2 linked regions of the Saccharomyces cerevisiae S288C genome follow. The protein of the gene in region 1 binds, or shares a complex with, the protein of each later gene. Each region holds a gene or a part of one and is shown in the gene's direction. Other genes may lie near its edges. The genes, in order: CCL1 and KIN28.

Region 1 (16,508 bases):
CCACACCACTCTCACGTTAGAAGTGAGTTCTACTTTAATATCAGAAAGGGTAGTTGATTTATTCAGGGAAAATATCAATGCAAAGCTGAATGAAGGCATTTGGCTATTCCAAGCATTAGGAAGAGAACGCGAGTGAGAATTAGGATGTCTGTTTCTCGCGGGAGAATTGTTATTATTCATAGGGTTGTTATTGCCACTCGCAACAAAGGAATCCGCATCTGTTGTGTTATTGTTCGAGGCCGGAGAAGCACGATCAGAATTGCTTGTATCCATAGCATTACCTGTCCTTGCTGTATTAGAGGGGCTGGTTCGCTGTGTATGTAACGGAAATAGTGATAAATCATTGTTTTCATTCAAAGTGTCCATCGTAGGACATGAAGGGAGGAAATCACTTTCTGCAGTGTTAGTGGACCCGACAGGCTGTGTTCGCGCCTGATTTAAAGAACCATGAATCAGTGATAGATACTCTGTTTCATCACTTTTTGTAGTTGGCAAGAAAACTGATTCTGCACTTGTTGCAATGGAAATTTCCAGCACACTTTTCTTATTATATAACGGTGTTTGCTTGATGAAACCACGATCCGCTAAATAGTCCGATAGCACCCTATTAATAAACATAGTGCTATTACTAGCATGATGTGTTATGAATGACCTAACAATATCATTATTACTAGATATTTGTTTTGCCGCGACTGGATCTGACTCTCTCCTCAACCCGGTGTCTTGCCTTGTGTGTAACTGGTCTATGGTGGTATACGGAACAGAATTCCTGTGCCTATCCGGTTGGTAAGATCCCGTAATATTGTAAGCCTTAGTGCCAACATCTGAAGGAAAACTGTTCCCCCTACACATGGCAGTTGATGCGGTAGAATAGTTACGGTTCATCAAATTGGAATAATCGTCCATACTAGATGTTGGACTATTACCAGTTCCAAAAAAAGAAGAAAGGGCGTCCCTAACACTAGATGACCTCCTTCTACCACTAAATCCTGACGATTTTTGTGGCGAGAGGGAGGTAGAAATCATCTCTCTGTTACGGGCTAGCCTTTGCAATATATCACCCTCGTCGCCTGCAGAAACGTTCTGGACGACATCTCTCTTGTTGCCGTTGCTCGCAATTGCTATTGGGACAGTAGATTGCATGATTGACTTTGCTTACTAGTCTGACTGATTACCCTTGGAGAGCCATCATAATAAATAAAACAGAGAAACGACGATATATATAGTCCAAACCGTGACAACTATGCAGGGAACGGGAGACGGGATTCAATAAGCCGGGGGTCTTTTCCATGTGATACCGAGTAAGGCATAGCCATCATTTGGCAGATCTACAAAATAAAGAAGCCCAGGGTTTGGCCGTGCAGAATCGCTGCGCCAACCCCGGATTTTGCATTTCTTATTCCACTAGGGCTGGTCGTGGGGTACGTGGGGAGCGGTATCCCTTAAAATGAAAAAAAAGAAACTATACCACCCACGCATCCAAACGACCGGGCGAGCGGGTAATAGATGGTTCTATTCTTTAGCCGCCGAAGCTTTCTTCTCTATATACATGTAAATGTATATAATTCCGGAAGTGTGGTCCTGCTACGAACAACACAAACCGATTAATTGATAATGGAAAGAGGAATGAGGTTGGGACAAGTAATACCAACTGGGGCTACAGGAAGGTGGTGAAAGAGGGTATCACATATAAGAACAAACCGTTTATTCGATTATTTAAATCTATTTTAGGCCACGAAGGTAGAGAGGTTGCGAGTGAAAACAACTAACTTTCTTTACGATATTTCTCAATTGGAACTGACAGCGTTAAAGTCCATATTTTGCTACTGATTGCTTTTCTTTGGTGTTATCTACCTTAAGAGAAAAAAAATTCAAATGAAGATTACCCGACTCTGAGTTTTGACGTCCTTAGCTGTTTGTATTCACTGAATTTAGTGGGCTTGGCCATATGAGAATTACAACTAAATCATACTTTTTCGAGATTTTATACTGCTAATATTGGAGAAGAAATATTGACCATCTTGATTTAGCAACGAGAAAGACCTGAACACCATAATGGGCTCTTCGTTGAGAAGCTTTATCAAAGACGTTCGTGGTGCCAAAACACTGGCAGATGAAAGGGCAATTATAACGAAACAATCTGCTAAAATTAGGACAAAATTGAGAGATGACCATCTACCACATGAAAAAAGGCGAGTAAATATCCAGAAACTTCTGTATCTATACATTCTAGGGGAAAAGACACATTTCGGTCAGGTGGAGTCTATCAATTTAATTGCTTCTGACGATTTTGTCGATAAAAGATTAGGCTATCTGGCCGCAACTTTATTGTTGGACGAATCTGAAGATTTATTGACACTCTTAACGAACATGTTGAACAACGATTTGCATCATCCCAACAAATATGCAGTGTCACTTGCACTAACCTCATTAGGCTTTTTGAGCTCCCCTGAATTAGCCAGAGATTTATACCCAGACGTCGAAAATATCATCAAAAATTCAAGAGACCCTTTCCTCTTGAAAAAAGCGCTTCAATGTGCTGCCAAACTAATTTTCAAAGACGTTTCACTTTTAGAAATCTTCAACATCGAAGACATTACTAAGATATTGTCTAGTCATTCAATATGTACTCACGGTGTACTTTTAGGCGTTACGAAAATCATACAATCTATTTTGTTAATTGGATTGAACAGAAAAAAAGATGAGGATGAAGATGAAGACGGTATTGATTACAGCAATGACATCTTGTCTCCATTATCTTTACTTTTGCGTGATTTTTTCATTCGTTTGGAAAATATGAATTCTAAAAATATTGAACCTGGATATGATGTCCAAGGTATTTGTGACCCATTTCTGCAGTGTGAAATAATTTACACTTTAAAACTATACTTTCAAGTTGGTGAGCTCTTAAATTCGAACAATGTTTTGGACTACAAAGATAATTTCTGCGATTTATTGACTCGTATTGCGACGAATACGGATTCAACGAAAAACAGCGGACAGGCCATTCTTTATGAGACCGTGAAGACGATCTTTTCGTTGGATTTGAACCAGCCTCTACGTGTCCTTGGTATTAACATCTTGGCCAAGTTTCTTGCAGGAAAAGATAATAATACTAAATACGTTTCATTAAACACCTTATTAAAAGTTGTTCCCCAAGAGCCTACCGCAGTACAAAGGCATAGAAAATTCATTTCTCATTGTCTGCAGGATACCGATGTGTCGATCCGCATGAGAGCGTTAGAGTTGAGCTTCGCCATCTTGGACGATTCAAATTTAGTGGAATTGGTTAACGAATTGATGAAATTTTTGGCAAAACAGGATGAAGATTCAAAAGATCTCATAATATACACTATAGATCACTTAATTGACACTTTTGATACCCGCGTTGTCAAAGATGAAAGCTGGAAATTAGATGTTTTCTTTAATATCTTAAAATTAGTGGGATCGTTTATCAACTATGAAAAAATTAATGATATTCTAATCATAATAAATAATACGAGCCAGTTATCCGACAAATCTGAATTTTTACGGAAAATGCTGACAATTTCACTAAATGGAACATCAGCGGAGATTTCCGAGGAAAATATTGGTTGGCAGTTGGTTTTGATTTGGTGCATTGGCGAATATGGCGATTTAGTACTCAACGAGGGCAATAAAAATGGTGCAGACATAATCAATGAGTCATCTATTACTGATTACTTACTAACTTTGCAAGAACTCTACACAGCAACGAATCTGAAGATAATCAATTACATTTTAACAGCAGCATTAAAATTATCTGTGAGGTTCCATGACGCGAAAAATATTGAAAAACTAAGACAACTGATATTGAGCTACACGGATTCCACTGATTTATCACTGCAAATGAAAAGCAATCAATACGAGATATTTTTCAATCAGTCAATTTCTGTGAAGAAGATCATTTTAGAAACAATGCCTAAATTTGAAAAAATTACCGAGGAACAGGATAATGGAAAAGCTCTATCGAAAAACCTTATCTCCAACGAACCAGTTGATCTGCTGTCAGATTTATTGGGTGAGGATAGCAAGGCTGAAAGCAAGGCTTCTACTGGTGACAATGTGAAACCAATTGACATATTAGAAGAGATTTTTGGAGAGAAGAATGACATTGCTCAGGTGCCCAAAAATGCGAACAAGGAAGAATCAATCAATCATTCGTCGGCAGTGGAGGCAAACTCAGGTGTCACCTTACCATTGGATGCCAACAAGATATATGACAGTTCCTCACTGAATGTATATGCTTCCTTGCTCTCTGCAAACTCTGGATTAGCACATTTGGATTTATATTTTCAGGCAAAGTCTTTAATATCTGACTTAAAAACTTTCTGTGCCGTTCCTAAAGCTCAAAAGCTAACACTAGGCCAGTTATATCCATCTTCCACAATAAACGCCAGCCAAATTTGCAAGCAGTCATTGAAAATTTCTGGATCTGGGAAACTGAAGTTAAGAGTTAAGTTGGATTTTCATTTAAATGGCTCTTCATCTATCACCAATGAACAGTTCGATCACAAATTCGATGAAACTCTATAAAAAATGCCTTTAAAATTACAGAACATAACATGATTAATGACCTTGCGTTGGATGGTCTGTCGCGCATATCAAGAGACACGTCACGACACAACACGATGAATAGAAATGCTATCTTCTGGGACACCATAAACGACTCCAAAATATTTTATATGTTAAGTAGCGATATATAACAACTAATAACATATGTACTTATATGCTCTCAATAGAATAGATAACAAAGAGAACAAAAACGAGAGTTTGATTTGAGGATATAGGTGAGTTGCCTCTTAATGAACAGAAGCACCTGTAGCCTTAGAAGCCTCATTGACGGAAGCTCTAATTTCATCCTTTTCTGTCTTGCTAACATCTCTTAGGATATATCTGTCGGTCAATGGGGCTACGATCTTTTGATAGATCATTCTAGCGCCACCAGTTTGAGGCAAGGCAATGTAGATTAAGAAAACGGTTTTCAAAAACCAGTAGAATGGAATCAAATATAGAATTGCCTTGGACCAGAATTCAATGACACTCAAAAATGAAAAGACAATCCAGTAGGTCAAGAGTTGTGTGTCATCGGTGGACGTTGGTGTCTTCAAAGCAACCAACGATAAATATGCTGGCAACACAAACCCAGCAAAATTGGAAAGAATTTCACCTACACCTCCGACGTTAATAAAAATCAAAAGGAGATAAGCGAAACCTAAACCAGCAACTAAATAAGATTTAGGCAAATTAGTTTTATTTTCTAATTGCTGTAAAATTCTATTACCAGAGTACTTCTGTAGAAAAAAATGTAGCAAGGAGGGTGAAAATTAGCTTTCTTGTTAGTATAACTGCTTCGGTTACGTGTGTCGGGTCATTTGGCTGTTTGAACCATGATGACGATGGAACCAATAAAACCATCTTACATACGGTATCGAATTGTTTCATTTGAGAGTGAATACTAGATGCATATTCGGACATGATTGGAGTGCGGTTATGTCTTTGTTTATTTGTTTTCACTACCAATTGCAATTTTAGATTCTTTCTTTCGGAATAACAAGCTTCAAGGGAATGTTTTTTAGTTTTAAATCAAAAAAAATTTTGAAGGACATATTTTTTTTTTTTTCGTTCAACCTTGAAAGGGGTTACGCATACTCCCTTTGACGTGGACAAGAAGAGAGAATAACGGCGCTAAGAAAGCGAACCACGAAAATTCGAGAATGGTGATAAAAAAATAAAGGTTAGAATGCCACACAGCCTTCCAAAGAGTGAATGAAAATCTTTTGACTTGATGTAGTTTTTTTTTTTTCAGGAGGAAGTTTAATCCGGATTGTGATTAAATCAGTACTGCCCCTCCAGCAGCCATATAACCTACTTACTGCGTAACTAGTAATTGCGCTCACCCATCCTATCTATGCAACTCTTCTGAAGGTCTTCTCAAGCACTTAATTTTTGTTTTTCAGGAGATTGACAGGGTTTGTCGCTTGTCTTGGCACTCATTCCAGCACTGATTGGGCAGCTAGTTTGAAGAGTTGCACCAATAAATTAGAACCTCATTAAAGTCATGAATGGACGAGCAAGTAGCAAGTCTTATAAATACTTGAAAACGTGCATGTGATGATGGCATCGCTCCCTGTTGAATTTCTTTTTTTCCGTTGGAAGGTGCACTTGTTGAGCGCATTAAAGTTTTATAAAGCATAGTATTCAGGCTCAAAATAAAAGGGGACAAAACAAAACGTGCCGGTGAAACATATATGTCTTGAGAAAATTATTATAATGTTGTCTTCGTCTCTTACTTTTAGAATGTACTCTTTAAAAGTTAGACGCTTGGACCATTTATAAAGCACAAGAATGCTTGTTTATTTCATTCTGATATGCGGATTTAGCTCAGTTGGGAGAGCGCCAGACTGAAGAAAAAACTTCGGTCAAGTTATCTGGAGGTCCTGTGTTCGATCCACAGAATTCGCATTTATTTTTTCGACCTGCCAACTGCGGAAAGTTGGTTCTTGAACTTGACTGCTCCTTCTCTTATGGAAATATCAATGAAAATATAGACTCAAGTAGGAAGATGAAGGAGTTTTTCAACTTGAATGTCTGACTTTTTTTCAAAATTTTCTTACGCCATTGGCCATCTTTTAATGTCTCCAACAAAAAACCAATAACGGATAATCAATATAAGCGTTGGAAAAGAATTTATCACGGCCAAAATTGTTCCCGTTAAAAGTTCGAAGTTTTAGGGACATAAATTTGTCTAAAACTCATGGAAGCACACTTTGCTTCCATTACGTATTGTATAATATTTCCTACTATATCGTGGACTGATACTTTCTTGAGATATCTACATACTTTCTCCGTCAGAGTCAGTCATCCCACCTCAGAGTTTACTAAAAGAGGTCAAAAAGAGGGAAGCAGACAGACTAAGGTAGATGTCCAAAGTTGACAAATAAATATCTGGCTCCACAGTTTTTCAAAATCTCTTGATGATCCCTTGCATTTAAAGGACCGTTATTTGCCGACTACGGACAGAGAAGTTAAATCTGAAAAGAAATGAAAGAAGTGTACAATGACAACAAAAACGATGAAGTAACGTCTTTTTTTTTTTTTGATTACTCCCAAATTCAGTTCCCCCGTTCTTGAATTGGACTACCGATGTTTATGAGCTGGGCATTTTCTCAGGAATTATATAGTATGTTAAGTGTGTAACAAATTGAGATGAATATATACGTGCTGGCTTACGCATTATGAAACACACTAGTAGAATAAGTGTTTCGGATGGGAAGTTTATTGATACTAAACCTAACGTGTCTTCCAAACGAACAAATAATAATGTAGGTTTCAAATTATATCAGCGACTAACTTCGGCGGCTATATGGACAGTCACTAAAGTGTTTTGAAGATGTTTTCTTTCTGTGGTCACGACGGTAGCCTCAACTGCCTAGAAATTTACAAAACAAAATAGTTTACAAAATTAAAGCACTTTTCAAGCGCCGTGCATATTAGTTTTTGTGGTACTGAAAGTTCGGTTACATGATGTGCGGCAAACAACTTTTTGATGTTGGCTAGCAGATCGAGATTCTGTTGATGATGGCAACGTTGAAAAAGCGTTGATCACAAGAATTAGAAAGTACTAATTTTCCATTACTTCTAACTAAAGAGGGAATTACCATTAGTGTAATTCACAAACATTTGTAAAAAAACAATCATCATAACGTACTATTCATAAACATATAAAGCGCCAGATAAAAAGAAATGGTTGGTATTTACAGAATACTTGCTTCGTTCGTCCCACTCCTGGGTCTTCTTTTTGCATTCCATGATGATGACATGATAGATACTGTTACAATCATCAAAACTGTATATGAAACGGTGACATCAACTTCTACTGCACCTGCACCTGCCGCTACAAAATCTGTTAGTGAAAAGAAACTGGATGACACTAAACTAACACTTCAAGTAATTCAAACTATGGTATCATGTTTTTCTGTAGGTGAAAATCCGGCCAATATGATATCCTGTGGGCTAGGAGTTGTAATCTTAATGTTTTCATTAATCATCGAGCTTATCAACAAGCTCGAAAATGATGGTATCAATGAACCGCAAAGGTTATATGACCTAATTAAACCAAAATACGTCGAGCTACCTTCAAATTATGTGAATGAAAAAATCAAAACAACATTTGAACCTCTCGACCTATACTTAGGAGTAAATATGAATACTTCAGGAAGTGAACTAAACCAAAACTGTTTGATTCTCAAACTTGGCGAGAAGACGGCTCTGCCTTTCCCAGGCTTGGCCCAGCAGATTTGTTATACAAAAGGCGCTTCAAATGAGTTCACAAATTATAAATTATCGGACATACAGGGCAATTTAAACGAAAACAGCCAAGGAATTGCTAATGGCGTTTTCCAGAAAATATCAAACATTAGAAAAATATCAGGTAATTTTAAGTCTCAGCTTTATCAAATTTCAGAAAAAATCACCGACGAAAATTGGGACGGTTCTGCTGTAGGCTTCACTGCTCATGGGAGAGAAAAAGGCCCAAACAAATCTCAAATATCGGTTTCATTTTATAGGGATAATTAAAATAATTCTCTAAACTTTGCTATACCTTATTCGTTGTTGATAAGTACACTTGTCCCATTTCCAGAAATTTAATTATTCAAGTCTTTAGCTTCGATAGACGATGTACTTGAAAAATTTATAATCGATATAATTTTCTCTTCTGATTTTTTCACTCTTTTTTTTTTTTTTTGTACTATAGTAGGATACTCAGGGAAAAAGAAACCACTGCCTTTGAACAATGTTGCGAAACCAATTGATTAGTGGGCTACAAGAGTGTAAATAATGAAGATCTTTCATTTTTTGTAGGAATGCGTTTACTCTGGCGTATCTTTTGTAAAGGTTTGTTTCACCGAGAAAGGAAAAAGCTCGGCAATTGGTTTAATCTTGGTTGGATTGTAAAAAAATACATTAAAATTTAGGTTCTACCCCGCAGTGTTTGCTTAATTTACATAGGACCCTTTTCCTGCCGTTTTTGTTTTGTAAGGGTGAGGAAAAACTGGGGACGATGAAGAGCAAAAAAGAAACGAACATATTTGTGAATACATTATACACCTGAAGTAATAAATTTGTGGGGGACGTCATTTAAAGCCAAAATACTTCTTAACACACAATTACTATAAACTATTCCTGTAGATTAGCCCACCCCACCTTGAGAAAACCTTCAGGATACCAAATGGCAGGACCCAACTAACACAAACTCATTTTCTTCAATTTATACAAAGTACGTTTTTCTTTCGTGAATAGTATATAGAGCTTTAAATATTTGCCTAGTAGGCTTCTGTATTTTCAGATTGGCGCTACATCAAGTTACCTCTAATGTATTGAATCTAGAATATAAAAATGTATGCAAACATTATCGTTGCAAATTTAATTTAAGTTGCGAGAAATTTAGGAATATTTCTGTTCAAACCCTACTGACGAGAGAAGAGCCAATATCAAATCTGGTGGTAATCCCGATGGAATCAGAATCGTCTAGTAGGAATTTGAAGTCTATTTTTTTAATATGGACTCATACAAAAAATTAGAAAAGGCGCCAATTAAAAATGTGCAATCAATGTAATGAAAGAACTGATCTCAATGGCAGGAAGATCAAATTGGTAGGTAGATCATGTCTATATAATGCATGTGAAAATTTTATAGAAAACTGTTGTGGGCTCTGGAAAACAGGCTGCTAAACAGTACTTAGTGGAATTAAAGTACGCTGGTGCAAAAGACCAATTTCAAGGTCACTACTATATAAGGTGCAAAAAAAGCTTGTAGTAAAAATTATTGCTCCTAAATGTCACCCTATAGAAAAAAAAAAGCTTTTATATAAGCATGCATGATATTTTCAATATAGTGCCTTTAAAATATATATCCTACGAAAAAATTGGTAACTTTTATCCAAACTTATAATATTAAAAAAAGCGCTACTTATATGCATCATTTCATTTAATCATTGAGAACAATTTCCTTGATTGTAGCTCCTTTGTTATCATCATCATAATCATCATACACTCCTTGTACTGCCACAACTATGTATCTTGTTTTCCTCCAATCTGTGTTCCCTTTATCACCCACCTGCAATTTATCATAATCAATAGTGAAAGTCGTTCTATTACTGGGTAATATCTCGATTAACGACTGGTTGCGACTTGCTTCGTAGTATGGCTCACTTGGGCTCACTGGCACGTTATCCAGAATTTTCACAAATTTTCTTTTTAGAAAGTTAAGTCTGGGTATTTGTTCAATTAGCTTGGCTAAGTCTTCCTTCTTCCAGTGCAATAAGGCTTGCACATCATCCAAAGATTCATCATCCTCTTGTTCTATGCCATCAAAATCAATAACGTTCTCGACAGGAATTCCGGCATTATCTAAAAGCTGACCAATGGTTTCATTAAGAAGTTGATCATTTCCCGAATTTTGCATAATTTCTGTCACGTTCGCAAATAAATTTTCGACTTTTTCAGAATGAGGCAAAATAGATATGGAAATGTTTTTTGCGGGCCTCTGCCCCCAAAGAATCATTCCCTTGGTAATCTCTTTCTCGTTGTATTCACCTAAATCAATCAATAGCTTCGCACGGTGAATTTTGTCTAAGGGTTGCCAATGCGTGTAATTATTCCCATCTAGAGCAGAGAATGCAACGTCACCAGGAACGCCGGCCGTCAAGTTTGTTATTTGCTTATTTTCCGCTATGTTGTTTCTTGCGTTTAAGCCAGGCTTGAACAGTTGGACTGTAAGCTCTTGTTTCGGTTTTAAAAGATAATAGGTACCATACCTATCCATCCTCATTGGATCACCAACACGGTCGACGTCTCTACGCTCTAGATTTGGTTTTCTTTCGTTTTCGGAACCATTATAGAAGTTGATATCCTGGTCATGTATTAGAGATCTGTTTGGTATCTTTATATGAATAGGAACATCTCCTGATTTATGAACAATCGTACCATTGTGGTCGTCAATTATTATATCTAAAACTTGGTTCATATATTTGAAGTTTCTAATAGCGATACCACCAGGGAGCAACGGTAGTTCTATTGGATTGAACCTTAACAAACGGTTAATTTTTTTAGTATCTGGATCAACCTCATAAGAATATCGGATTCCTGTTAACCCAAACAGAATGCTCTGTAGAAATCCACCGTTAGCTGTTAAAAAGGGGAATGCTGGCTGGGTTAATCCGTTTGTTAAAAAGTTGTCGTCTGATTGCTCACTAAATTGAGCGAAAGGAGCCCGTAAGTATGGAAGAACCGATTTATATAAGTAACTTTGAGAAGAAGAGCCGTGATTCAGCAGACCAGCAGCTGCGGCCACAAAAACCGGATATGTCATTGCAGGCCCAGACGCAGACTGTCTTTCTGAATAATAATAAAGATCTTTAATTGCATTGTTCAATATGGATTCATCATTGATATATCCAAGTGGGTAAACCATTAAAGTCACATCCGCCTGTTTAATCTCCACTGAGCTATTCATACCAGAATATTCCAAAGTGATGTTAGATGAGGATCTAGGGATATAAATATCTTTGGAAATTTCACTCCATTTGGGGTCAACGACCTCGCCGAGATGATTGCCAATGTCTGTTGCCCACTTTAGAAGTGTTTTAATGCCAGCATTCGTGAAAGCCCCGTTATTGATGTGATTAGCAAACTCGTCGGGATCTGTCAAATTATATGTTTCATACAATCCTAGGGAAGAATTGTACTTAACATAAGCAGTAAAAAATTGGGCTGCGTTTTTGATAATTGGCCATGTAGTATATCTCAGATACTCGTCATCAATCCCTTCGTGTCCATTCAAGTATATGGAAAAGGAGGCCATAGCGACATCAACGTTAATATGGTATTCGTAATCGACACAAGGTCCCGTAGAAGTACAATTAGCGTACTTACCAGATGTCCAGGGGTATATTGCTCCGGGGTATCCATATTTCTCTGCATTTAACTTTGCCTGCGAATGTGTAGCATTTCTGTAATTATTCATATTTTGAGCCACATTTGGGAAGAAAGGCAATAGGGCAGGTTCCATCCATATATCTGCGTCCCAGAACACCATACCACCATAGGAATCTGATGACAAACCAGAAACTCCCACGGGAAGACCCCTATCGCTCGAGACATTGTAATCTCTTGTATTTGCTAGTAAATGGAATAGGGACGATCTTGCTGTCATTTCTAAAAGACTGTCAGAAGGAATTTCAATGAAGGCGTCGTTGTAAAGGTCATACCACGCACGTTTGTGACTTGACAGAAGCTTCTCGTAATTGCCTTTACTGTTTAGAGCTATCATTTTGGCCAAACCAATATTAGTATTGTCTTGTTGTTCTTTGTTCTTATTGAACTCAGTAGACATAATACCAACATACTTATGAACGATTATCTTGGGTTGGTCCTCTGTCAAAATAACATTATAAATATTAGAAGAAACATCTTTTTCTTCAAAAGATTCACTAGAATTTATTGGATTGGTGGAATTTTCATACTTTACAGTACACGTTGAGTAAATAGCGCAATTAGAAGATGGAACGTTATCTGGCTGAACAATCATGAAAACCGCATTATTTTTTTCGTCTGTTCCCGTGCTATGTAGAACAGTCCTATGTGATGTGTTGAAATCAAGTATATCCCATATATTAACATCTAATGAATCAAAATCCGAAGGTAAATGGTCCGTATTCAGGGAAATTTCCAAAGAAACCACTCCCAGTGGATGAATGTGCCGATGTGCCCAGATTTCACTTTTAACATGTATTTGACTGTTTAGCCAATCTAACTCCGTAGTTACGATACCATCCTTCATTGATAAGTTTTGGCTATAATTAGTTACGTCATCCAACGTAACATTTTGTGGATTGAACCACTTAGAATCATTCACTAATGAGAACTGTAGATTGGTCCATTGTGGAATAGATGAAATGACAGTGGAATATCCTACATCATCCAATTCTGGGAAGTTTGTTGAATTTAGTTTTGGTTGTAGACAATAAAAGTCCGATACAAACGCACCGGCAAATCTATGATTTCTTAAGGGCCAACCGTTATTCAAAGCGCCTGGTGCGTCTGTGTAAAAATTCAGGGTGTCTAAGGCATAGCCGAACCCAATATTGGGAATACGACTACCTATATAACCGTTAGCAACATATGGTTGTCTCGAGTATGTATTCTTTGAGAACAAGTTACTTCCCAAAATCATGTTCTCATCATCATAATATGCCGTGTTGAAATCAGAAAGGAGTTCATAAAGTTTTTTAGAAGATTCCCTTGCTTCTGGATCGTAGTTCAACGTATGATTTCCCAATGACGGCGATATCACACCCAGAGGGTTAAATAGGGCAGCCCTCGAGGCATGTGAGTATGTAAGCCTGGAACTCTTTGTTAAATATAATGCAGTGACGAAGATAGCTAATAAAAATAGCATCATCAGTAAAAGTATAGAGTTGATCAAGTCAAACCTTGAGAAAGAACGATAATTTTTAGAGCGAGAGTTATTACCGGTACTATTTTTGTTCCTCAAACTAGGAGAATTGTTAAGGTTTGAATAAGAAGCCTCCGCATTGAACCAAAGCGATCTTATTCTTTTCATTATTGGAATGAGGAAATTTCGGTAAAAACAGATGCAATATTAGGTGATACTAGCAGGCTCTCATAAAGGACTGATGAATCCTTTTTTAAGGAGCAATAAGATTCTTTTTTTTTTTTTTTTTACTTGAAAAAAAGGGAGTGGTAATATGGTGAAAAGTGGAGAAATTTTGTTATTATTATTCAATAACGACAAGAATTCTCTTTCCGAATATAAAAACGGCGCGGCTGTTGGTTTGTCGTGATACGTAGTGCTTGCTTGGACTTGGAAGTAAGACTATACCAAAAAGGAAATAAATTTTGAGGGGCAAAGAAGAGATGCTTGTACTGCCTTGCTGACTCAGATTGTTCGTTGATTTTGCTCAACTTTCCGCTTGCTTAGAGTGAACGTGATAGCTTTACGGCTAGAATCAAGATGAATGTTCCTTTCTTTTTCCGAAGTATTTGCCCTTATTGAAAAAGAATGATAAGGGATATACGAATAGACTGGTAAATATTGTAGATACACTTGTTTTTAGTGAAGCGAGAATAACAAAGCTTCAGCTAGAGACGTGACGGCTGAGAGGTGACCTGAAAGAAAGTAGTTATTGCTGGCTTGAAGAGTGAAATAACCTTGGTACAGACTTTGATAGCACGAACTGTTTGCCATCCAGAGAAGAAAGGGCCTCTCATTTCCTGCGGTATCCCTTCGTTGTTTAAGCCGTTCACAATCCGGGTAATAAATTTGATCTTAACACAGTTTTTATATTAAGAAAGATCTCAAACAAATGAGTGAATATTAAGTTTAAGAGAGGAAAATACTGTGCTGCACAGATATTGATAGAATGACGGATATTCAACTAAATGGAAAGAGTACATTAGATACTCCTTCTGCTACCATGTCAGCAAAAGAAAAAGAGGCAAAATTAAAATCGGCTGATGAGAATAACAAGCCACCGAACTACAAAAGAATTTCTGACGATGATTTATATAGGCACTCTTCTCAGTATAGAATGTGGTCATACACTAAAGATCAACTTCAGGAGAAAAGGGTAGATACCAATGCCCGAGCGATTGCTTACATTGAGGAAAATTTATTAAAATTTAGAGAAGCACACAATTTAACAGAAGAAGAAATAAAAGTACTAGAAGCAAAGGCTATCCCTTTGACAATGGAAGAAGAACTCGATTTGGTGAATTTCTACGCAAAAAAAGTTCAGGTAATAGCACAGCATCTAAATTTGCCAACCGAAGTAGTGGCCACTGCGATATCCTTTTTTAGGCGTTTTTTCTTAGAAAATTCTGTTATGCAAATAGATCCTAAAAGTATTGTACATACTACTATCTTTCTAGCCTGCAAATCGGAGAACTATTTTATTAGCGTGGACTCGTTTGCTCAAAAGGCCAAATCTACTAGAGATAGTGTTCTCAAATTCGAGTTTAAGTTGTTAGAATCATTGAAATTTTCACTGTTGAACCATCATCCTTACAAACCGCTTCATGGGTTTTTCTTAGATATCCAGAACGTCCTTTATGGTAAGGTTGATTTAAATTACATGGGCCAAATATACGATAGGTGTAAGAAGAGAATAACTGCCGCATTATTAACCGATGTCGTATATTTCTACACTCCACCCCAAATAACACTAGCAACATTATTGATTGAGGATGAAGCCTTGGTCACAAGGTATTTAGAAACAAAATTTCCCAGCAGAGAAGGTAGCCAGGAATCAGTACCGGGAAACGAAAAAGAAGAACCACAAAATGATGCCAGTACAACTGAGAAAAACAAAGAGAAGTCCACAGAGAGCGAAGAATATTCGATAGACTCCGCGAAGTTACTAACCATAATACGCGAGTGTAAAAGTATTATTGAAGATTGTAAACCTCCGAGTACTGAAGAGGCCAAGAAAATTGCGGCAAAAAACTATTATTGTCAAAATCCATCAACACTGATTCAGAAATTAAAAAGGAAGTTGAATGGAGAAGATACTTCGTCCACCGTTGAGAAAAAGCAAAAAACATGAAACAGCTCTGTTACCGTAGGTTTCTGTTTTATATATATATATAGATTAAGATGCATAGGTATATAGACCGGCGCCATTTTATATTATTTCATGCCATGAATATATACTGCAAAAAATGTGACAATGAGTAAATTGCTAACTAGCGCTACAATGTGATTATTTTTGCTACACACGTTTATCCATTGAATATTCTATTTACAATGTATGGCGTATTGATACACATGTACCTATATATATCAACAAGTGCTTTTATCTTAACTTTTATGAAAGATTAATGATTGGTTTAATCATCAACGATACTCCGTTCCATGGTGTGACTTTTTTAAGGCTTGTCACTGGGGGAAAGCGACGGTTGGTTAAGGGATGAAAGAAATTAATAACCCACTTGCGATCATCGGTTATCCTGAAGTATTTTGTCGCAAATACCCAAGCTTAATGCCTCTTTTCTTATCACAGAAATAATATTATAATTTCTCCTTACGAATAATCTGAAGTTTCAAGCTGACCAGGAGAAGATGTAGATTCTGAAAGTTTCCCGCGATCATGCTTCATTGCTGGTGTTATGAAGCAAAAGCGAAACCGACCAGAAAAGAACAAAGCATTCTCGGTCTTGAGGTAGGTTCCTTCATACGTTTAACTTCTTAGAATAAAATCATGCATTTAACATTGTAGGAATTTTGGGTTTATCATCGCCTATATCTTTACGTTCATCACTGTCTGGTCCTTCTACGACTGTATTGGTGGAAGTTTTCAGTTTGTCCAGTTTTTCACCTTTACAAACTTGTTCGATTTCGTGGGCATCTAGAGTTTCATATTCAATAAGACCTTGCGCAAGTCTATGTAGCTCAACATTTTTCTTAGT
Region 2 (15,086 bases), on another chromosome or scaffold:
ATCATCTTCATCCTCCGGATAATCATTTTGGTAATAGTTTTCGTCATTAGAATCCTCATCGTCTGAACGGGCTTCATTGGGATCACTTTCTTCATCAAGAGCCAAATCTATATGCTCAATAATTTTCACAAACCCTATATTTTTCTCGTTGTTATATCTAGCAACCTCATCGTCATGAATTTTCTCCAAATGGTAGATGTCAAAAACGTAATCTAAACTGGGTAGTGATGCAATTTTTGCAGAATCCCCAGTAAAATATTTCCTACTTGGTTTTTTTCTTTCTGTCTTTTCTACACCTTTATTCAACTTTAAATAGTCATTCACCATTTGATTGATCTCTGGCGGTAACCCATCGTCATCTACAGTACTTCCTTCTGCTGCAAGCCGCTGTTGTGATTTTTCATCATCTGAGTCTCTACGACTTTTTTTTCTTTGTTCCAATACAAAATGTCGATGATCTTCATGAGCCAGTTTTAAGAGTGGCGTAGAAGACTCTTGCTCGGATTGATAGCTTTCAGAGCTCACAGTCTTTGATAATTTAAATATGAACTTCTGCTTCTTCACTCTTTTCCCCTCATCAATTACTGAATTGTCCCAGATGAACTTAGTTAGTCAAACGCATTTTTGTTATATCGGTAGAATAACAACACATACATAATGCCTGCACAGAATCCTCATCCCTTCTTCTCTTTACTCTGATAAACTCAGGTGCCGTTGTGGTACTAATAGTGCTCATTCCCGAAATCTTGTATGCCTACCTCAACAAAAGCTATACCTCAGAGAGCAGTTTTATATACCATCTCTTGTTCTCATCAATAACTTGTCTTGAGCATTACACAATTTAAATCCCCTGTGCCGACACAAACAAGAGATAACCCGGAATCAATATTATCTGATTGGGCTCCTAAATATCGCATCTGTGGACTTGAATCCACATGCTGCGAACTTATTTGAAGCAACAATTACTTCTGTTGGAAGCGTGGTAGTGCCAAATCAGACTTGCTCTTTAGTTTTCTTATGTTAACGCTTTACTGCCTTTTTCTTCTATATTTTTGAACGTCAATATGTAGCGGGCGTCAGCAGAGGAACAGAATTTGTGACACTTCTTGAATGAACATTTCTCATATCTGAAACCGCATCATCAAAAGGACACCTCAATAGAGATTCAGTGACATATTTAACATAGTTTTATGGGTAAGAAATATTATTAATTATGGTACGCAAGAATAAAATAAATAGAGCGAGTGGAACTACAAAACACCTCAAGGATTTTCCATCAGTCATCCTAAGTCTGCCCAGCTACAACCCTTCCATCCTTTCTAAAAATGCAACTGCACTAATAACCGGTGGTTCTAGTGGACTCGGATTTGAACTTGCAAAGGAACTTTCCAGAAGAATTAATAAAGTTATTGTGGCAGATATTCAATCATTTCCTACTTTTGCTCAGGTAGAATATAATAACATTTTCTACTATCAATGCGACATAACAAGTCTAGATGAAATTAAAAATTTGAAAAAAGCTATTGAAAGAGATCATGGCAACATTAATATAATTATAAATAATGCTGGTGTTGCTCACATCAAAAAGTTAGAACATATGACAAACAAGGAGGTAGAACAATTGATCGACATAAACTTAATAGGTGCTTACCGAATCATCAGTACATTTGCAGAAGATATGATAGACAATAGGGAAGGCTTTATAATTAACATTGCTTCAGTCCTCGGAGAACTGACTCCTGCAAGGCTGACATCGTATGGTGCATCAAAAGGAGCAATGATTGGTTTTCACAAGTGTATGAGCAGGCATTTCAGAAGTTTGTCCACGGAATGTAATAAAACTGGAATAAAAACACTACTGGTGTGCCCGGGAAAAATCAAAACTAATATGTTTATTGATGTCCCTACACCATCTAAGTTATTGGCTCCTGACATCATACCTTCCCAACTGGCACTAGCGATAATCTCTGCGATGGAGCATAATCATCTGCAAACACTAAATGCCCCATATTATGTGAACCTAGTTCCCTTTTTCAAAACTTTGAGTTGGCCATATAGGCATCTCTTAAAACATTTCAGTGGAATGGACCATGTAACGTCAACCAGCCCGCGAGCAATAAATCCGAAGAGAAGTGCATAATATTTTAGTCTATTTAATACATTTGACGTTATTTGATCTTCACGTTGTTTATATATATATATATCAAGTATGCTATAACGCTAAAAAAAAATGCTCATAATACTATGCAAAATCTTGATGTCTTTTGACTTCTTTCCAAATTTCTAAATTTTGACGGGCATAATTTCTCATATATCTGGAATAATGCTTTAAAATTTCTGATAAATCTACTTCCCTTTCTTTAGAAAATTTAGGTAGCTGGTCATTTTTGATGACTTTTGAAATGACCTCCAAATCATTCTCAGTAACTTCCAATGATTCAGACAGTTGTTCAATTTCTTTCTTCAAATTGATACTTGCGGTATGCGGATCTGTTTCTTGATACTTCACAGAATCTTTTACCATTGATGCCAATTTGTTAAATCCATTGAATAGTTTGCCACCATATGATTTCCCACCGCTACCTGTATTATTATTAGGGCGTTCCAGATTAATAGTATGACTTTTAGACATTTCGTTGTCAATTATTTTGTCAACATCCTTATATTCATTGTTTTGCGCTTCCAGCTTCTCCAACTGTGCTCTTTTGGAATTCAGAGACTTTTTAATCATTTCATTTTGCAGGTATTTCAATTTTCTGTATTTGATCAATTCTCTTGCAGAAGTTGCCATATGAACAGATTCATTTAAAGGCTCATTTATATTGTAGTATAGTCTTCCAACTAATTTTTCTAAAGAAATCGAGGACCCCGAAAAGGCATTGCTTAAGTAAGAAAGCTGTTCGGCCAATTCCCCAACTTGAGCCTGTTCATGGGCAAACTGTGCAAATACCTCACCGATTTCATTGTAATCCGATTTCAAATCGTGATAAGTCTTCGTGGTTCGTCTATTATACTTATAAATCCCGTTATCTAACAAGTTCTCATATTGCTTGTAATCCTGTTCAATATTAGTAAACGACTTACTTCTTTCCTTATCCATTTTTTTGTCGTTGGACTCCTTATTCAACAATAACTGTGACGAGGAGCCCGGTATTGGTAACATGGCATGAATTCTAGTGGTGTTAGTGGGATCTAGTGGATTACACTGGAGGATGCTCTTCGGTAAAGATGAAAAAGTGGACGAACTGTTAACAAATTCATGCCAATTATGGTTATTAGGATCCAAAAAATCGGTAATTATAGATGTTTTTGTGATTTCTTCGTTCGTCAAAAGTTTGTTCAAGAACTCAGTGAGCATTCTTATCCTATGCCGTATTAACTTTTCATCACTATTATTGACCGACGCATGTATCACAGACAATGATAGATCTACTGAACCAGAACCTTCTGAGGGCAGCAAATACTTTGAACTCGAACCAGTTATTGACTTACCATAATTCTTTATTGACTGCTTTTCTGGAATCGGCGGTATCAACGTCATAGGAAACAATCTTATCAAGATACTTCTCAAACTCTCGAAATCGCTGTAACGTCTCTGAACGGTAGAATTTTCAAACTGAATAACATAGGCGATGTAGGCTCTTCCTTGACCTTCGGAAACTCTTTTCGCTTCAAGTATGTGTATCCTAGCGGACTTCTTTCTATTACTTACAGAAGGTTCTTCTGACGCAGAGGTCTCTCCGTTCATGGAGTTAATACTTCCACTAAGACTTGTTCTACATGTTTCTGCATTCGATTCTTGGTTTAAAGGCAATAATCCCTCAGAGTCATCCTCGTAATCTTCATTCGGGTTCTTTAGGTTATGGCTTCTCATACCGGGTATTTCTAATAAAGCTGATTTTGTGAATCCTGTTGGCCCCTCCTCCATGAATGGGTTGTCTTTTTCTAACAGGGCTGTGTGTACTAACTCAGTTTCTACTTTGTTATTGTCCCCCTTTCCAACCTTACCCTTTTTTGGGCTCTTTTTTGGCGATCCAACTCCATTCTTAGAAATTTCTGCCTCTGCCACATACTCAGTTGTCCCATGAGGTGGTTCAGCCTTTCCTGTATTCCGAGTTTCCGAATTCAATTTAGCATTTTCTTGGACATCATTTAAGTCTGACATTGTGTGCTGTAGAAGACAACTTTTCTAGATGGTATGTTCAATTGCACCACCAGTATTCGAGCTAGTCATCTCTTCATTTTGGAGATGACTTGCTGTAAATCGATAAATATTGGCTTACTCAATAGCCATATCTTAAAGGGGGCACAATGGGTGAGTTGTCGGGTAAGGGAATGTAGATCACGTGAATGAAAATTCAAGTGTTTTTCGAAAAGTTTCACCATGGCGATGAGCAAGATTGAAACAGCACTATTGTAACTATATAATTGCTAGTAAGCAAATAAGCCAAGCCTTATTAAAATCCGGTGAAAAGAATTGTTTAACGAACGTTACAAACTCTATACCTTTTTTTTACCAGCAAAATGGTTGGAGGTGCTCTCATCTGCAAATATTTACCACGCGAAGAGCAACTAAAGCTTATATCAGACTTGATTCAGAATGACAGCTTAGAAGAGGTGCTGGAGTTGATTGAAACTTCGCCACTGGATATAACGACGGACAGCAACATTGAAACACCAATCTTTGAAAAAATTACTGAGCAGGTCATTGCGTATGCTAGTATAGACGGTGAAGCCAGGGAAATGTTTCGCTCTTCGAGGGCTGAAATGAACAAGGCGCTAAGAACTTCTGCACAATTACTATGTTGTTTACCCAGTGTATGGCATAAATTTCAGGTGTGGATGAGCTACCGGTTAAATGACATCATTAGCGAAAACTATAAACATCTCTTCAATGACAACTTTGGAAAAAAGATTGTACAACCATTTTTCGATTCTTTTGCTGAGGAACAAAACGCTAATATCAAGCATGAAAATCTGCACTTAGATATCCTTAGCCTGCTTCACTACTTAGAAGTTGTATATTTATTTGACGAATGTAAGAATGGTATATCGTCCAAATGCCTAGATTTTATCATTGTTCCATTGTTAGGCTGTAATTCGGAAGAGATTGCTGATTCCTGCTCCAAGTTAATGAGATGGCATATCAAATATTTATCGAAATGCTGCAATACCGATAGTAACTTTGATAAGCTCATTTGGACATTTATCAAACAATTGTACGCTGAAGGCTCCCAACAAGCTTGGAAGCAAAAGAACAGTTTATCTTTTCTCCTAAGATTCCTTTTAGCAGCAGAGTTGTCTCCTGAACTTATTACTTATATAAAGACCGATGCTTATTGGAGGCACATTCAAACAGAGCTGGATAATGATGTGCACGAACACAGAAAATTGGCACTCTCAATTCTTAAATTAACAATTCAAAAACTGTCATCTCATGGTATAACATTGCAAACAACATTTTATAAATGCAATGATCTAGCAAATATCGAGATGCTGGGTAGCTGGAAGAAATTCACCACCTTATATGAAATGATTGCTCTGGACACATCATTGAATCAAATACAAGCGGCCAAACAAGATATAATAAAAATTTTTGATAACGAGCATTTACACCATAGTTGGGGCCTTATCTTGCTTTCTACGGGATTGAAATCATCAATGGAGAGTGTCAGAAAATACATGATGACGTTAATGTTCTCGATTACAAATATGTCAGCATTCTCTTCAAACTTGCCATTATTGACAAAAACTCTTCTTCCAGCTGCAATGTCCGCTCATTATTTTGATGTAAAAGGTGTCAGTTGTCCCCATGGTGAAAAACTTTCATTATTTGTCAATAACTTACTTTCCCAAACAACAGAAGGCATATCAGATATATTATTTGAAATTTTGAAATTATTGGTGGAAAAAGGGACCTCTTTTGACCCTTCTAGGATATACTTGTCCTACGGTATCTTAGTTTTCTTCCAGAATAACAAACAGAAAACAATCAACTCTGACCATTTGAGTCTGATCAGGAAATTGTACGATTTTGCAGCCGAAGAAGAGGTTCTCGAAACTACAATCCAAACAATTTACTTGAAGTTCTTACTGTACATTGATCCATCTGTCTCCGCATCTGAATTATTGTTTACATTAGTTTCACACATTAAGTTAAAGGGAGGGACATACAAATATGTTGAGCCTCTTTTTGAAGATTATAGGGATCTTGCCGTTTCTCACTTTGACGATTTGCAAGCGAAAGAAAACTTGACGACAAACATCGGAAAGGATACTATTTTTGACCTCTTAGCATCTATCATCTTCGATTTCAAGGATATTGATATTACTCCCGATTTTTTAATTGAAGTTGCGAAGTCGAAGCAAGATATACCCGTTTACACTTCAAAGGCAGTTACTTTTCTAACTCAGCTACTTTCAGGCGAACCTTCGAACGGTTATACCTATGAAAATGCAACCGCTTTGTTGTCTTACCCAAATTTTACAATATCTACATGGAAATCCATCAATGTGAATAATTTATTTAAGTCGGTAATGGAAAAATTTTCGCTTGATAAATTCAAGTTCTTTGCTGAAATTTACCAGAAGACTTATGAATGTAGGTTCGATACAATCGAGCTAAATTTTAATGACCTTCTGAGCCTATATGAAATGGTTAAAAAGTCTGCCAATCAGTGTTCAAGAGAGAGCTTTAAAGTGAAGGACAGCGCTTATTCTTCTTACTTTGAACTTTTAAATACCTTCCTGAAAACATACGCCTTAAATCGTGACTCTTCTGAAGGAAATGATGATGAGCTTCACATACTACTACGCTTAGTTGACGAGAATATTAACAAAGATAATGGGAATTATCTGGGGAACCTGGCAGTCTGTAAATTATTGTACTTTATCATAGATTCCTACATCCATTGCTCCACATCTGTTTCTGATGATGATATTTTCATAGTGAAATTCATTTTTGAGAAATTTTCGTTTATATGGGAATGTATTAATAGTGAAAGATTAGTTTTGAAGGAAAGGGATCTGCATTTGATGCTAATTAAGGGATTATTTCATCCTGTGATCCTGTACTTTGGATCAAATCAGTATATCGATACTTTGACCTCGAAGTTGGAGGAACATGCACAAACGATTATATCATTGAGTTATTCCAGAAGAAGCCTACTCCCTCTTCTCGGATCACAACTCAGAGTATTTATGAAGTTTTATGGGAAATTGTTAAGAGAAGATGTCAACTATTGGTGGTTGATTAACATTATAGTAGGTGTTTTCAAACAGCCGCAAATGGATGTCAACCTTTACAAGCTCAAACCTGTTATTTCCAGCCTATTTGACCACAAACTGAACAATTATTACATAAAAGGCGATGAACTTTATGAAAAGGTGTACGGACCCGACGAAATATTGGCTAGAGTATCTATTATTGATTCTATTTTATATGCAAATGATCAGTTGAAAATTCGATTAATCGAAAAAGTTACTGAAAAAACAAACGCACTTTATGCTATAAAGAGAACCGACGGTGCCGAAGCGTTACAGAGGTTGTTGCAGTGGCAATTGTTATTATTATCACTACTAACCACCAATGAAAAAAAATTAAGCGAAACTAGCATGATCAGAATTCTAAAGAGTATCGAGGATGAAAGTTCACCACTAGTAAGAGTATATAAAGAATGGTTCATTTCCTCAAAGGTTGTTGATTATTATAAAACTGGCAATCCAAAATTTGCTGAGGATTATCTCTTCTCATTGCTGGAGGATCATAGCAAACCGGTGTTTGTAGTTAGCGCAGAAAAAATATGCTTTATGGTGTTGAAAGATTTAAGAAACGACGAAAAGAAATATGGATTTACACAGTTACTAGACAGATTCATTTGCACGTTAGTTCCTAACGCAGCTTCAAACAAACCTCTGGTAAGGCATTTTTCTAATTCTCTAATAATTTCATTATGGCCTACATTCAAAGCCTACCTATCGGATCACACACTGAGAAACATCATTGAGAACTTATATTCCAATGCCAAAAAGACTCAAATATTTGGTCAATATCGTGCCGGGGATGCCAACATATGGGATCTGAAGGGTGATAGGAAATTAACGAACATGTTTGGTGGTGTGCTCAAAAAAGTTACCGACCATGATTGCCCGTACATTTCTGAGTCTGTTTTCGAAAAATATTTGCAGGAGAAAGATATTGTTCCTATAGGTACCGATGAAAGGTCCTTATGGCTTGATAAAAGAGACACCAATACGGAATCTGTTAACAACGCGAACATCTCCTGTGACACTTCTCCACTGCAAACAAAAAGTGGAGCTTGGGAAACCGTTCTGGATCTGGACAATAAAAAATCGAATGATGTCGTTACACGTTCTGAATTGATTGTGGTATCTTCATTAGTTGATAAGCCGCCAAACCTGGGAGGTATTTGTAGGTTATGTGATGTTTTAGGTGTGGGACTGCTTACTGTACAAGACATCAAAGTCAAAAACCATCCTCAATTTAAAAATGTTGCTGTGACTGCTGATAGATGGATGCCCATGGAGGAAGTTGCCCTAGATGAGATTGCAAGTTTCATGAAAGAGAAAAAGAAGGAAGGGTACACATTAATTGGGCTAGAGCAAACGGATAAATCAGTGAAGCTAGACAACAATTTCCAATTCCCTAAAAAATCATTGATCTTGCTAGGAACCGAAGCATTCGGTATTCCGGGGACTTTGTTAAGCGAATTGGATTTATGTTTAGAGATTCAACAATTTGGTGTGATCAGATCAATGAATATTCAAACGGCAACCGCAGTTATCGTTCATTCCTATACAGTTCAACACATGTAAGAATCAGGTTTCATTCCCACTTTTGTTAACCATGAAGTTTTTAGTATGTAAACTAATTTGTCTTTTTATCTAATTGTGACTATATTTTTATAAATTCTCCAGTGATCGTACTACGTCGGGGGCGTATTTCTCCACCATTGCAAGACCTTGCTTCAACAAATGAGGTTTAAAGCTTTTAACGTTTGAATCATTCAATGCTACTGATCTGATAGGTGATGTAATCTTACCATTAGACCAGGAAATGATTAGGCCATTATTGGCCACTTCGCTTTCGTTGGCTGCAGGGTCCAATAGCATATTGTTGCCTACAACGGCCAATATAAACACTAAAGGCGGATTAATGTCAAGCTTAACCATGTCGTAATCATGAAACGTAGGAAGTTCTTCCACCTCTAAGTCGTCAAAAGCTGAAATAAGTTTCGGTAGGTATGTGGAGTTCAACGCTGAATAAATAGCAAAGGATATTAAAGAAACTGGGTGTGAATGTGATGAAATGACCAGAACATCGACAAATATTTTGAAGCTGTACTTTTTTGTCAATTGCAACTTTGAGGAATCTACTCCGCTACCAGACTTCAAAACCTTGTTCAGTAAAGAAGTGATTGTCTCTACTACCAGCGCGTCATCTCTTTGGCCTGCGATATCTACATCGACCTGAAGTAGTTCATTCTCCACATGATGATCCACAACTTTGGACTTAATGCTCACGATACATTCACTTCCATCACTAGCTATAATTCTGGACGATCCATTGGAACTTGGTAGGAAGTCAGTAAATATTTCTATAGGTCTGAATTGATGAGGTAGTCTTCCATCGGGCCTAATTGAAGGCGTGCTTGCTAGTGAATCGTATAGGTACGACTTTTCGGCGACCGAAAGAGACATAAATGATTATTTCAACAGAATCTCAAACTGTCGTTGTGCTAGTCAAAAAGAATGCCTTTTGCCGTCTACAGACTATTAGTATCATTGTACTCCTTCACCATATAAGCTCTACGTTTCTTTTTTCTGAATATTAGAAAAAAATTTCGCCAACTAGGGTTCAAAATAATAGACTAGGGCACGGAAGAAAAGCACACCCTAGGGCTTTCGGAGATAAATTATTAATAGCGAGTTTTTTTTGTATTTACTTATTTTATTATTTCTTTAAGATATCTAGTAGTAAGGATAGAACGGGTAGATAGAATAGACAAATGGAGTTATTGAAATATTTATACGAAGAGATAGAACAGAGAGACAAAGAGTATGACGTGAAAATGATGCGCAGTAAAACTAAATCCCGTCTCTTAAATGAATATGCTGTTTGGTGTCACGACGTCCACATTTGAATTGTCCATGTCAACGTCAGGGCCCTTGTTGGTGTTGTCCTTTGCCTCTACCTCGTGCTTACTCTTGCCATGGCCCGTCTTTCTATATACCGTTTCTTGCTCCAATGCGTCCACTCTCTCATTGTAATTGTTTAGCACAATTTCGTTCTCCCTGACAGAGTCCTTGTACAGCGCCAGGTCTCCCGAATCAATGTTCTCCAAGTCGTCGCTGTCGTCAGCTTCAAGACGGTCGTCAGCACCCTCCAACTTAGCTATGTATTTACCCAAGCGGGCGTTAGACCTCTGCAAATGATTGATACTGTTCTCAATTTCTGTTTTAATCTGTGCCAACTCCATGTCGGACATGCCGCTTATCGCCGTCTTAAATTCTTCGATCTGGATTGGTCTTCTGATACCGCCTGCTGAGCACATTATGTTACTTGTAGTAGTTATTATGTTTTGATTTGCTTTATGTTTTATAAAGATCTTACCCCTCTTTTTGTCAAGAGAAATAAGCTTCTGAAGTATTGTTTTCCTGGTGAAAAGTGTCTTATTTATATGGAGAAGGGATATTCGGCCTCGGTTTTAGGGGAGGAGCTGAAGAGTTGTCCCGCTCGAAAAAGACCCGTAAGCGCATTTATCGAACTACGAAGTAAAATGGACTTTCGTAGGTGTGGACAATAGTAAATTGCAAGTCAATCCCGGGATGACGTCAAGATAGACAGTCAATCTGTCACAGAGGAATGCTTGCTAATCCAGGAGCTGGCGAGCTGGCTAGCTGTGGAGACTATTCCACCATGGTACACACTAGGATCCTCGATCTTGGTGAGCCATGAGTAGAACTTGTTTGGTTCCACCCCTCCGGTTGCCATGTTTATATCTTCCTCAGCAAACTGTTTATCTTGCATTGGTGAGGCGATTGGGTCATCTCTTTGGAAATGGGCGGTAACAAGGTGGTCAACCACCGGCCAGCCGTAAGCGTTGGAAAACCTTCTTCTTACGATGATGTTATTGTGGGCATCTGGTTTCAGCAATACCACGACTTTCCTCCAATGCATCCCCTTGTGCCAGCGGCGTGCTATGATTTCCTCCATCTCTTTTCTCGTCTTCCTCGTTTCGCCTTCCTTGGCTGCTGTTCCTTCATAAAGTGTTGGTGATGGAGGCGGTAAATTCTTTTCTGTGTAGATCTTATCATGTATGATTGTTGCGACCCTTGCATCGGGATCTGAGAAGAACTTTGCGTCGGGGCATGGTGATAGAAGCACAGACTTCATAGATTTGATGACGGAAGCATTCATCAAGCGTTTAGATTTCTTGTCGCAGTTATTTTCCTTGCTCTTCCAAAACGTGTTCCATGACGATGCATTGATTCCATCATCATCATTAGCAACATCGCTATGATTTGGAAGTTCCCCAATAGGACTTACTTCAGGCTGGAAGAGAGGATCACAAGGTGCCGTAGTTTGACCTCCCAGTTTCTGAAGTAATTGAGAGTAGTCCAAAAAAAGTAAAGAAGAGGAGTACAAGGGAACTATTCCGTCGTTGACGGCATTAGCATAAAGTGTTCTTCTTTTGAATCGAGCAAGCACACTGATTAAGGATTCCTCGGATAGCAGGTAAAGTAGGGGCTTATCACCATAATTTCCATCCTTAAGACCCAGTTCTTGCCCCGTAGTACCAATGATACCCATCGACAATGACATTTTTACGTAATTGGGCGTGCTGGTAGCAATGCCTAGCAATGGTGACGCCAGTGAGATAAAATTGATTGGCTCCACTTTCTTAAAGAAATATGGATATTTGGTCTTTATGTAACAAATAGCAAAAGTTTGTGTTAATCCACCCAGGGAATGACCAATAAATGAAATTTTCCCAACAGAGTCATCATATAACTCGTCGATGATGTAGTTTGCCAATCCAACACCCAAAAACTTAATACCCTTCTCAGTCTCACAAGCATTCTTCATATATCCCTTAATAACTAGTCGCTCATTTGGATTGTTCATTTGAGCCTTGTATATTTCTTCCATTAAGTATTCCATATCTGCCGAAACGTTTGATTGAAAACCATGCGTGAGAATGACTAAATGGGATTTTTGCGACATGTCTATGGGTCGTGGTACTTTCCATATATCTGCGGTGGTAAGTCTATGCACCGATAATCCTGTGTGTAAAATATTGCAGGCTTTATCAGGCAATGAATCATTACATCGTATTTTTCTTTTCAAAGAGGCCTTTGAATTGCCGACTACTATCTCAAAAGTTACCTTAGTTTCTTTATTAAATAGTATTTGACTGACAATATCCACTATCCATACATAGCGTGGCTTAATGTGGTGCAAGGACAACTCTGCAATAAACTTTTGTTGTGCCTGTAGGTTTGATTGAAATACTGGTTTATCCGCCGAACATATGATCTTATACGAGCTTTCGTAATCTTTTGCTCGCACGTCACAATATAAGATAAATGGGCCCAATAGATAGGCTGGTTTATAGGATAGCTTTGTGGTATTTTTGATCTTTACCCATAGGGAATCCAGTGTGATATCAGCGGGAATACTATCACCCTGGTATAGCTCATATGTAATAACGTATCTTTCTAACTCACCTAACTTTACTGACGACTGATTGTGGTATAGCACTTCATCAGCACTCCTGCCAGCTTCCATATTACTACCGTTTCCCCGATGTTTTTGGGTGAATAAGGTCAGGTGAGCATTTTTTGTACTGATATTTTTTCTCTTTGTTTGCAGACACAACGCTTGCTGTTAATACGCTAAAAACATACCACACTACCTTGAACAAATCCTCCAAGAGAAATTTGTAAGAATTCAGAAGCGGTTTCAGGGGAAGTCGGCTTAGTTGTCAATTGTAATTGAAAATCACCCTCTAATTTGAAAGATTTTCAGTTTCAATAAGACATCAATCTTGCCAGTTTGTAATTTTTTGGTATATAGAAATGGTCTTCAAGCATAAGCCTTAAGAAAGATTCGTCCATTGGATGAACCTACAATTTTTTTTGTGTTATGATGTGAAGCTTCATTTGAAGCATTGTGCAGAGAATATTACAAGTAGATTCAAAAAACACATTGAAAAAAAATACAAGTGAAATCACAGTTACTTAAAAGTCATCAAAAAAAATATTCCCGGCCTCAGAGCGAACATATGAAAGTGAATATGGAGTACACAAAGGGTATGTGGGGGTTATATATTGTCGTCTTTCTTTTAACATTCAATAATGATACTAACGTTGATTAATGATGATTCATCGCAGAAAAGAAAGTTGGTGAGGGTACTTATGCGGTTGTTTACTTGGGTTGTCAACACTCTACTGGAAGAAAGATTGCTATTAAGGAGATCAAAACATCCGAATTTAAAGATGGTTTAGATATGTCAGCTATCCGTGAAGTTAAGTACCTCCAAGAAATGCAGCATCCGAACGTCATAGAACTAATAGACATATTTATGGCTTATGATAATTTAAATCTCGTTCTGGAGTTCCTACCAACTGATCTAGAGGTGGTAATAAAAGACAAATCAATACTGTTTACACCAGCAGATATTAAGGCATGGATGCTTATGACTTTGAGGGGCGTGTATCATTGCCACAGAAATTTCATTTTGCACAGGGATCTGAAACCAAACAATTTATTATTTTCACCTGATGGCCAGATAAAAGTAGCAGATTTCGGTCTAGCAAGGGCGATACCGGCCCCACATGAGATACTGACAAGTAACGTCGTAACAAGATGGTATAGAGCGCCAGAATTGTTGTTTGGAGCTAAACATTACACATCGGCTATTGATATCTGGTCAGTAGGCGTTATATTCGCGGAATTAATGCTAAGGATACCTTATTTACCAGGACAGAATGATGTCGATCAAATGGAAGTAACGTTCAGGGCCTTAGGGACACCTACAGATAGAGATTGGCCCGAAGTTTCTTCCTTTATGACGTATAACAAGTTACAAATATATCCGCCCCCTTCAAGAGATGAATTGAGGAAAAGGTTCATTGCTGCTAGCGAATACGCCTTAGATTTTATGTGTGGAATGCTAACGATGAACCCACAAAAGAGGTGGACCGCTGTTCAGTGTTTAGAAAGTGATTATTTCAAAGAATTACCACCACCAAGTGACCCGTCTTCAATAAAAATACGTAACTGATATGATTTTATAAAATTTGTAGAATCTGTGTTATTGACATTAGATGTATCCTCAACATATACAAATAAACTTCTTGATGCGTCTTGTTTTTTGGTGTTGAATTTTAACTCTTTTCCATCATTATGGAATTCGTTTTTAGATTTTAACAACAACAATATGAGGGGAGACAAACAGTAGCAGACGAAAACGAAAACAAAAGCAAGAAATATCTGATCTAAAATATGCAGAGGTTTGTCAGTAAGTTTGTTTCCACACCACCAGTACCCAAAAAGTTTCAAGAGATTTTCCCGAAGAAACGTACGGTTAACAAAATTTTATTCCAGTTAGATACAAGGCTTACATACCATGAAATGTACCCGATATTTCTGCAGGTATCACAAAATACTAATGAAGAGAATATCCCATGGAGGAAGAAATACCCCTATATAAGGAGTTCAGACATTATGCAGATGCGAAACGTCTTGATAACTCTAAGGACGCAGAACAAATTCGTCCACAAAGACTTATTAGCTATGGAGGATAAATTATTGAATATTGCTGCCGAACTTGGCAACAACGATGCTATATCCATCCTAAGCTTCAACGTGATACATGAATATAAAAAGGAAAACGTCAAATCCAGTTATGAAAAAGACATTGAAACGGCTAATGAATTCATAAAGAAGCTGTATGCGCGTAACCATCATTTAACGGTTAAATTAATAGGGGACCTGTTTTTCGAAAACAAAACTTACGATAAGGCTGAGAAATATTACCAAGAGTTCTTGAAATTGGAAA

Evidence for each region.
Region 2: the proteins of CCL1 (region 1) and KIN28 are in contact, whole or in part, in a cryo-EM structure (PDB 6XI8), measured with the Saccharomyces cerevisiae proteins. Residues at the interface, in NP_015350.1 of Saccharomyces cerevisiae: His51 (codon at 14,615), Ser52 (codon at 14,618), Ser53 (codon at 14,621), Arg56 (codon at 14,630), Phe168 (codon at 14,966), Leu169 (codon at 14,969), Lys172 (codon at 14,978), Ser173 (codon at 14,981), Glu174 (codon at 14,984), Asn175 (codon at 14,987), Val180 (codon at 15,002), Arg191 (codon at 15,035), Leu195 (codon at 15,047), Glu198 (codon at 15,056), Phe199 (codon at 15,059), Leu202 (codon at 15,068), Glu203 (codon at 15,071), Phe207 (codon at 15,083), Leu209 (codon at 15,089), Leu210 (codon at 15,092), His212 (codon at 15,098); in NP_010175.1 of Saccharomyces cerevisiae: Thr40 (codon at 13,506), Lys44 (codon at 13,518), Asp45 (codon at 13,521), Gly46 (codon at 13,524), Leu47 (codon at 13,527), Met49 (codon at 13,533), Ile52 (codon at 13,542), Arg53 (codon at 13,545), Lys56 (codon at 13,554), Tyr57 (codon at 13,557), Gln59 (codon at 13,563), Glu60 (codon at 13,566), Gln62 (codon at 13,572), Ile72 (codon at 13,602), Met74 (codon at 13,608), Asp77 (codon at 13,617), Arg152 (codon at 13,842), Glu159 (codon at 13,863), Thr162 (codon at 13,872).

What each region holds. Positions count from the first base shown.
Region 1 is NC_001148.4:612,515-629,022, reverse strand, and holds CCL1 (TFIIH complex kinase subunit CCL1), read left to right. Parts: upstream 1-14,464; coding exon 14,465-15,646; downstream 15,647-16,508. Other genes in the region: CSR2 (Csr2p), read right to left, coding at 1-1,143; APL4 (AP-1 complex subunit gamma), read left to right, coding at 2,056-4,554; YOP1 (Yop1p), read right to left, coding at 4,821-5,312, 5,446-5,496; YPR027C (uncharacterized protein), read left to right, coding at 7,765-8,598; alpha,alpha-trehalase ATH1, read right to left, coding at 10,009-13,644; i-AAA protease YME1, read right to left, coding at 16,299-16,508. UniProt on the Saccharomyces cerevisiae protein: Regulatory component of the TFIIK complex (KIN28-CCL1 dimer) which is the protein kinase component of transcription factor IIH (TFIIH) and phosphorylates the C-terminal domain of RNA polymerase II during transition from transcription to elongation after preinitiation complex (PIC) formation, thereby positively regulating transcription.
Region 2 is NC_001136.10:254,391-269,476, forward strand, and holds KIN28 (TFIIH complex serine/threonine-protein kinase subunit KIN28), read left to right. Parts: upstream 1-13,307; coding exon 13,308-13,335; intron 13,336-13,416; coding exon 13,417-14,309; downstream 14,310-15,086. Other genes in the region: IWR1 (Iwr1p), read right to left, coding at 1-584, 655-736; YDL114W (short-chain dehydrogenase/reductase), read left to right, coding at 1,214-2,140; ATG20 (Atg20p), read right to left, coding at 2,243-4,165; TRM3 (tRNA (guanosine(18)-2'-O)-methyltransferase), read left to right, coding at 4,525-8,835; exosome non-catalytic core subunit RRP42, read right to left, coding at 8,923-9,720; TMA17 (Tma17p), read right to left, coding at 10,122-10,574; YDL109C (putative lipase), read right to left, coding at 10,868-12,811; MSS2 (Mss2p), read left to right, coding at 14,531-15,086. UniProt on the Saccharomyces cerevisiae protein: Catalytic component of the TFIIK complex (KIN28-CCL1 dimer) which is the protein kinase component of transcription factor IIH (TFIIH) and phosphorylates the C-terminal domain of RNA polymerase II during transition from transcription to elongation after preinitiation complex (PIC) formation, thereby positively regulating transcription.